2 linked regions of the Rattus norvegicus genome follow. Each later gene encodes a partner of the first gene's protein in a complex. Links are inferred from orthologs where the notes say so. Each region holds a gene or a part of one and is shown on either strand. Other genes may lie near its edges. The genes, in order: Dlc1 and Tns2.

Region 1 (3,818 bases):
ATGCTTTACCTAATTTAAACATTCGCTCACATTCTAGATCTATTGTTTTGAACATTTACACACTATTTTAGGAATTGATGATACTGCGATGATATTAGTGATAGCAGAAAATACATGTATGGATAGAGTATCTGTTCTAAAGCCTTATAATGGAATACACCATGCTTTCTTATCCATAAATTGTGAGTTAATATGAACTACACTGTATTGCTCTGTTTCCTTGTCACTCCTTGGGGTAGGGACATCCTGGTCACTGGGTCTGGTATGAGTTGTTTTACACACTAATGCATTTCACATTCTTCTCCATTGCTCAAGTTTTGCAAGACTGGTTCCCTGATGGCCTTTGTTTCAATACAAACCAAGCAGCAAATCAATTTCCTTAATGGCTTTTGTTCACAAAAGTAAATCAGGAAAGCACACAGAGCCAGAGCAACAAGTTCGTTTTTCCAGTGAATTTTATTAAGCACCGCAATCCAAATATTTTCTTAACGGAGCTTAAAATATTTTGGGTACTTATTTCTTTCTTCATTAATAAACCAGTCCAATTGGTTTTGTAAGTACTGATAAACTTTTACTAAAAATACTAAATGCAAATTTTTCTCTACTATTAGACTGCCTCTAAGAAATAAAACCGTTTAGGCTATTCAGCAAATTTCTTACCTCAGCTTCACAGCACAGATTAGATTCTTTGCCATGAAATACAGTTATGTTGGAAATGTATCTATAACAGCATATTTTCAATTTTTCCACAGATGACAACATGGCAGATTGCACTCTCTTCCTTGACCCATGAATTCAGAATCTTCTCTCCCCGACGTCCATCCCTTTGAGTGTCCTATGGAATGCATCTCCTTGTCTGCCGTTAAACTATGATGACATGTCTGTAGCTCTCAGAAAGAGGAGCTGGGAAGAGCATGTGACCCAGCAGAGCGAACAGCCTTTTAATTCTGATGAGTATGACATAGCATGTCACCACAGACTGGCATCCGACAGCCTGGAGGTAAGGATGGAGAAAGATGAAACCTTAAATGTGGACCATAAAGAGAAGCATGCCTCTCTACCAGACTGCTGTCGTGGGTCAGAGACAAGAGACTCTCCTGGGAGGCCAATGGGTCACATTTCACCGGAAGTGGATGAAAGTGACAGCCAGGAAGGAGAAGAGCGGTTTCTATCGCTCGAGGCCAGCACAGAAACACTAGTGCACATTTCTGATGAAGATACTGACTCCGATCTGCACCTTATCAATGACTCACAGATTTTACCTCCACAAAGACATGAAAGGGACAGCCACGAGAGTGTCAAAGGAGCAGGCTCCTTCAGGAAGACACTGTCCACCATGCAAAGTAGCCAAGATTCTCACAACACCTGGACGATGGCTGGTGAAGCTGAGATATCTGCAGCAGAAGGAGGTGAAGAAAGGAAAGATGGCGACACTATAAGTAAAAGCCTGGAGCATTGTAAGAGTACAAGTGCAAGTGAAACAAATGAGGTGGCCAAAGTAAATACATTCCAGTCTTTGAATGCGAAAGATGACATCACTCCTAAGACACAACTGCTTGATTCTTTGGTACTCGTGAAAGATGTCACACCTGAGACACAACTGCTTGATTCTGCAGTAATCGCTCAACAACACAGGAAACCTGACTTCCCTAACGATGACCAGGAAAAGAATCTGCACCATGTAGTAGAAGAAGACTTCTTAGTGGCTCCTTATACAGACAGAGGGCTGCCATTATTAAAAGCAGATTGCGGAAGCTGCCTTCTGCGGCCTCCTTCCTGCCCTGGTGGAATGTCAGCAGAAAATGACCTGGAGAGGAGTGGGTTCTCAGAATATCAAAACAAAAGCCCTCTCAGGGTCAGTCAGGAAGGTGTCATGCAGTGTTTACACGTAAGGGGCCCAGTGACCACCCAGGAGACCGGAGACAATCAAGTCAGACTGCGCAAGAGAAAGGTAAGCCTCACACGCAGATCATCTGGTTCCTTGAAATGTTGTAAATATCTTTCTTTTCATAACTCATGAATGTGCTTGGGCTGAAAAGGATGCACAGATGTTTTGTTGTCTTTACCCTGTCATGTAGCAAGTACAATTTAAAGGCCGTTCTCTTGATAAAACCCTGAAACTAAGTGAGAGTTGACATACAATAATCTTACAGTTTCACTACCAACATTGAGATAGTTTGTGGCTCTTTAAAAGTGTGTTACAGGGGCTGGGGATTTAGCTCAGTGGTAGAGCGCTTACCTAGGAAGCGCAAGGCCCTGGGTTCGGTCCCCAGCTCCGGAAAAAAATAAAAACAAAAACAAAAAAAAAAACAAAAAAAAAGTGTGTTACGATAGCACTCAACATGGCTCACTTTCCTTGGAATTTAATACTCACCAACAGCATCACCCTGTAGTTCATGGCCTTCTGAAAAGGGACATGTAATTTTTATAAGAAAAACAGCAGTGTATTTAATCTGTCTCACTTGCATGGGCTTGTTTTCCGTTCCTTTCAAAGAGCATGTTTAGTCATTGGCAGCCACATATTTAAAACAAAAACAAAATCAACTTAAGACTAGCGGGATGGCTCAGAGGTTAGGGGCATGTACTTCTCTTCCAAAGGACCAGAGTTCAGTTCTCGGCACCCATGTGGAATGGTTCACAGCTGCCTATAATTCTTCCTCCAGGAGACCCCACGAATGCCCCCTGCCTCTGTGGGCCCCTGCACTTGTGTGTACGAGCCCCGCATGCAGATAAACACATGTACATGTAATTGAGAATAATATAAATCTTAATTCAAAATAACACTCTCAATATGGAAAGACAACGCTTTGCATGTGCTAATATTACTTTAAATGTCACACTCGTACATCTACGATGAGCAGAGGCACCATTATGTCTTTGCCTTGAAAGGGGCGGCGTACATAATATAATTATTTTATACCAAGCCCTTTGAATTATTCTACAGATTCCCCTGAGGAAGAGAAAGAAAGTACAGGGTGGCCCTACATGACTGTGGGTTAGCACTGAGCTCTTATTCATGATTTCAGGCTTCCTTTCCATTTATTTTCTGACGACACAGTACTACATGAACGGATGTTACTCTAAGGGCTGGCTAGTTTCTTCTCTGGTCACTCTTCTGTGGCCATGGAAGAAACTCTGAAGAGAACTTTGTGAAACAGAAGATAGCTATTCTTACTTCTATTTCACGGTGGCCATTCATGCACTGCTTGAGGGGGGGAACCTTTCCAATTACTTCTTATTTCCAAACACTGTGGTTATTTTAACAAACTAGATCATTAAACCGAATGTAGTCATTTCAGCGACGCAAAATGAACTCAAAGAGTGTACGGCAAAAGTCAACATGCTCAGACTAAATCCCAACAGAATATTCTATGCTTCTGGCAAAAACTTTCTTCCTTCTGTATGTTGTATTCAAATGTCAGTGCCCCATGAAGTTATTATGATTGGAATGCTTGGGTCACATTTCCAGAAATTTCCATACATCCTATCCAATCTGTTGAAAAGAATGCAATAAGGACACAAGGAAATATTAACTGATTTATGACATAGCTCCCTAAAATAAGACAAATCTGGCCCAACTGCCTACAGACACATTAAACATTCCTGCAACATATGCTCATGGTTGGACGTTGATATCAATATGAAGAATGCAGGAAGGAATCTGCTCTCCAACGTACTGCTAACGGCTGCACTTGGGAAGCCATAGCTATATCTCATTTGCAAATTCTAATTTAAATTTTCTATTTTAAGTGTTTCAACACCCCAAAGTGTTGCCAGATTATTGGTTGAAATACTTGCTTTGACATTACAACCTTTGG
Region 2 (3,818 bases), on another chromosome or scaffold:
AGCTAGCTTGGGGGAGCTATGTGCCCCATGGGTGGGGTCTCAACGGTGAAAGAGGCTAGTGTCCACCCCTGGCCATTGCCTGGCTGGCTGGCTCTATATATAACTCCTGTCCTGCAGCTGGATGAATGGGGGTCTGTGTGGGCAGGGGGCTGAGAGCCAAGAGCAACAAGCAGGGGGCCTGAGGGGTGGGAGACCGAGAGGCAGAAACAAGGCTCCCTTAAATAGAGGAACCTCAGCTAGAGCTTGTGCTCATCAGGTGACAGGCCCTGCATCTTCCTCCCTGAGGCTGAGCACCCCGTTTCACCAGCTCAGCCTTAAACTCCCACCTCTTTCCAGGTGACTTCATCCTGTCAGGCCTTGCCCCCCGCGGAGCTGGTGAGTGTGCTCAAGGATGGGGCAGGGAAGGCAAGGAACCTGACTAATATCCCGGGGTCTGGTGGTCTCAAAGTGGGTCTCCAGGTTATGTAGTACTGAATGCTGTGGTTTATTGGTCAGTTATCCTCAACAGATGACTGTCGGAGCCCTTCGTTGTGACTGTCTTCTAGGGCTGGTTGGGGACTAGAGTCCTGTCCCCAGGGAGTGGACACTGACATGCGCTCCCACCCCGCCCCCAGGTCCAAACTGGTCCTTGCCCCTGCCCTAACCACTCCCATTTCCTCCCCCACCTCCTCACTCTAGCGGAGAAACACAGCCCCAGTCCGGCGCATAGAACACCTGGTAAGGGATGCTAGGAGCCTGAGCGGGAAGGGGCGGGCGTGTGGGTAGCTCTTGGAGTAGGGACCTACATTTGCAGAAGACCACGGTTTGTAGAACTTTTGACCCGGAAGCTTAGAAGCGATGCATCCAAACAGTTGTCGGCATACGGTTTCTCATCCACCAGGGGTCCACCAAGTCTCTGAACCACTCAAAGCAACGCAGTACTCTACCCAGGTGAGTGAGGACGCCCGGTGATCCCACGTAGGCACTTTCCACTGGACCGCTACTCAGCTTATGGCAGTGGCCGCCAATAAAGCCCCCAGGACAGTACTCCCCCTCCGGGCCACCCACCCTAAGGACCTAATAGGTCGCCCAGAGCTCCCCAGGATCCTTAGCCCCTGGGCCGCCGCGCTTCTCTGTTCTCTAAATCGGCTTTGCGTCCTCTCCCAGGAGCTTCAGCCTGGATCCGCTCATGGAGCGTCGCTGGGACTTGGACCTCACCTATGTAACAGAGCGGATCCTGGCCGCAGCTTTTCCTGCACGACCAGACGAGCAGCGACACCGAGGCCACTTGCGAGAGCTGGCCCATGTGCTTCAATCCAAGCACCGAGACAAGTACCTGGTGAGAAGCGGGTGGGCCAGATCCAACCAATGAGAGGGCTGGGAGATTCAAATGGGGCGAGGCTACTGTTTCCCCATCAATACCTGAGATGGGGCTGGAGAGGGGGCGGTGTTCGCGAGCAGGGGCGGGGCGGGGCGGGGCCGGAGGTTAGCCAGTCACCGCAGGGTGCAGAGAATTCAGCTCCAGCGGATTACAATCTTACTATTTTTAGAGCAAGATGCTCGATGAGGGTTCACCTCCAGCACCTGCATCTCAAGTCACCGTCATCTAACTCTGCCCTTTATTTCAGCTCTTCAACCTTTCAGAGAAACGGCATGACTTGACCCGCCTGAACCCCAAGGTAGGAGGGAAATGGTCTGTTTGCCGTTTATTCCGAGCCAACCTTGTGAAAAGGCTCTGCCTCCTTGTTGACATCCACTTTTCTCACACTACTTAAGATAACTAAAAACGAGGTGCTGGGGTTATCAGCCCACAGTATGGCGGAAAAAAGTGTCCAAGCTACTGTGGACAACTACTAAGTTTGCGCCTTGCCCCCAGGTCCCTGTATTGTATTCACATCTTCCTCCCTTTGTTACACACACACACACACACACACACACACACACACACACACACTTGTACTTGTACTTCCCCAGGTACATGACTTTGGCTGGCCGGAATTACATGCCCCACCTCTGGACAAGTTGTGTTCCATCTGCAAAGCCATGGAGACGTGGCTCAGTGCCGACCCTCAGCATGTGGTCGTGTTATACTGCAAGGTGAGCCAGGACCTTGGGGTAACAGAGCTAGGACAACCTCAGCCTAAAAGTTGCAGGTTCCCCATCTCCATCTCTTTATCTCTTAGGGTAGCAAAGGCAAGCTTGGAGTCATCGTCTCTGCCTATATGCACTATAGCAAGATCTCTGCAGGGTGAGTTGCCCTGCTTCAGTGACCCCTCCTCGTCCGGCCCTGTCTGAGCTTTTTTCTCCTTAGTCAGACTATACACTTGGTACGGTACTGTCTATCTCCAGCTGTGGGCCCAGCACACCACAGCAGAGGAACTGGGCTAGTTTCTTAGGGCCACCAGCTAAGTGCCATAGACTAGCTTAAAATAATATAGCTCAGTTGTCTTACTGTTCTGAGATAGTAAAAGTCCAAAGTCAGTGTCAGTGGGGCCACGCTCTCTCTCTGGGACTCTAGGCGGACTCCTTCCTTGCCTCTTTCCAGCTTCTGGTGGTGCCTGACAGTCCTTGGCAGTTCTTGGCTGGCAGCGGCATCCCTCCACCCCCTGCTTCCGTCATCACGTGGTGTTCTCTTTGCGCGCCTGTTTCTGTCTCTCCTCTTCTAAGGATCAATCACCCTAATTAAGGACCCACCTTGCTCCTGTATGATCTCATCTTAACCTATCTAACCACATCCGCAAAGACCCTATTTCTAAATAAGGTCACATTTGAGGTACATTTCTCTGGGGGAGGGATACAGTTCAACCCATCAGGTTGTCTAACTGCCTCCTTTTAAAAGTGAGGAAAGCCAGGTTCAGTTGCCCAAGGCCCAACAACTGGGCTATGCTGGAGGGTCTCTAGCTCTCTTCACCACCACTGGGAGTTCCTCTGTACAGAGAGGTTCCTCCTTTCCTGGGGTTTAAGAATGGAAGGCAGGGGGTTGGGGATTTAGCTCAGTGGTAGAGCACTTGCCTAGCAAGCACAAGGCCCTGGGTTCGGTCCCCAGCTCCGGAAAAAAAAAAAGAATGGAAGGCAGGCGATCTTCCTAGAAGTGTATGAGTGACAAGCAATAGCATAAAAGTGATATATACATATATATATATATATATATATATATATATATATATACATACACACACATATATATATGTATATATATGCGCTTAGTTTGTAATTGTTCAAGTGATTCATGGGAATACAAGATAAGGCAATTTAAACTTTTTTTAAAAACTTAAAAAAAAAAAAAAAAGAATGGAAGGCAGGAATGGGACCGGTCCTTAACCCCCGACCTCCCCTGCTCTCCCCAGGGCAGACCAAGCGCTGGCAACCCTCACCATGAGGAAATTCTGTGAGGACAAGGCGGCCATGGAACTGCAGCCCTCCCAGCACCGGTGAGCACCCCAGTGGGGAAGGGCTGACTCTCCCTCTCAGGTAGCACACCTGAATCCCACAGTGTACGGGAGCCCAGTGAGCCAGGCCCTGTGCCAAGTTCTGGGAAGTCAGAACAAACAAGGTCAGGCTCCCGTGGTATTTATATGCTAGTAGAGTAGAAGGCAAGAAGCCATGCGTAAACAGACTAGATCGTTCTGGCTGACAGTAAGGTCTGTGACAGGAATAAAGCAGAGGCTTGTAAGACTCCACAGGATGCGCAGGGCTTGCCTCCTTGAAGTTTAGAAGAGCCTTCTAGGTCTCTCAAGAGCTGCCAGGTTGGTGTGAGGCGCCCTCTAGAGGAAGACACTGATGTTTTCTTGGCACTCCCCACCCTCCACCCCCTCGCCAGCTATGTCGGCTATTTCAGC

What was found.
Region 2: the proteins of Dlc1 (region 1) and Tns2 are in contact, whole or in part, in an NMR structure (PDB 2LOZ), measured with the Homo sapiens proteins. The link is inferred for Rattus norvegicus from reciprocal best matches to the Homo sapiens genes DLC1 and TNS2. Residues at the interface, in NP_001335010.1 of Homo sapiens: Glu811, Asp812, His813, Lys814, Pro815, Gly816, Thr817, Phe818, Pro819, Ala821, Leu822, Thr823, Asn824; in NP_736610.2 of Homo sapiens: Asp1268, Leu1269, Leu1270, Arg1271, Gln1272, Gly1273, Ala1274, Ala1275, Cys1276, Lys1317, Ser1319, Ala1320, Gln1321, Thr1324, Leu1387, Asp1388, Pro1389, Asp1390, Gln1391, Val1403, Leu1404, Leu1405, Gly1406.

The regions. Positions count from the first base shown.
Region 1 is NC_086034.1:62,008,220-62,012,037, forward strand, and holds part of Dlc1 (rho GTPase-activating protein 7), read left to right. Parts: intron 1-752; 5' UTR 753-877; coding exon 878-1,951; intron 1,952-3,818. UniProt on the Homo sapiens protein: Functions as a GTPase-activating protein for the small GTPases RHOA, RHOB, RHOC and CDC42, terminating their downstream signaling.
Region 2 is NC_086025.1:135,115,357-135,119,174, forward strand, and holds part of Tns2 (tensin-2), read left to right. Parts: intron 1-336; coding exon 337-375; intron 376-678; coding exon 679-717; intron 718-880; coding exon 881-930; intron 931-1,146; coding exon 1,147-1,318; intron 1,319-1,607; coding exon 1,608-1,658; intron 1,659-1,953; coding exon 1,954-2,076; intron 2,077-2,162; coding exon 2,163-2,227; intron 2,228-2,621; exon of another isoform or gene 2,622-2,752; intron 2,753-3,326; coding exon 3,327-3,410; intron 3,411-3,799; coding exon 3,800-3,818. UniProt on the Homo sapiens protein: Tyrosine-protein phosphatase which regulates cell motility, proliferation and muscle-response to insulin. Phosphatase activity is mediated by binding to phosphatidylinositol-3,4,5-triphosphate (PtdIns(3,4,5)P3) via the SH2 domain.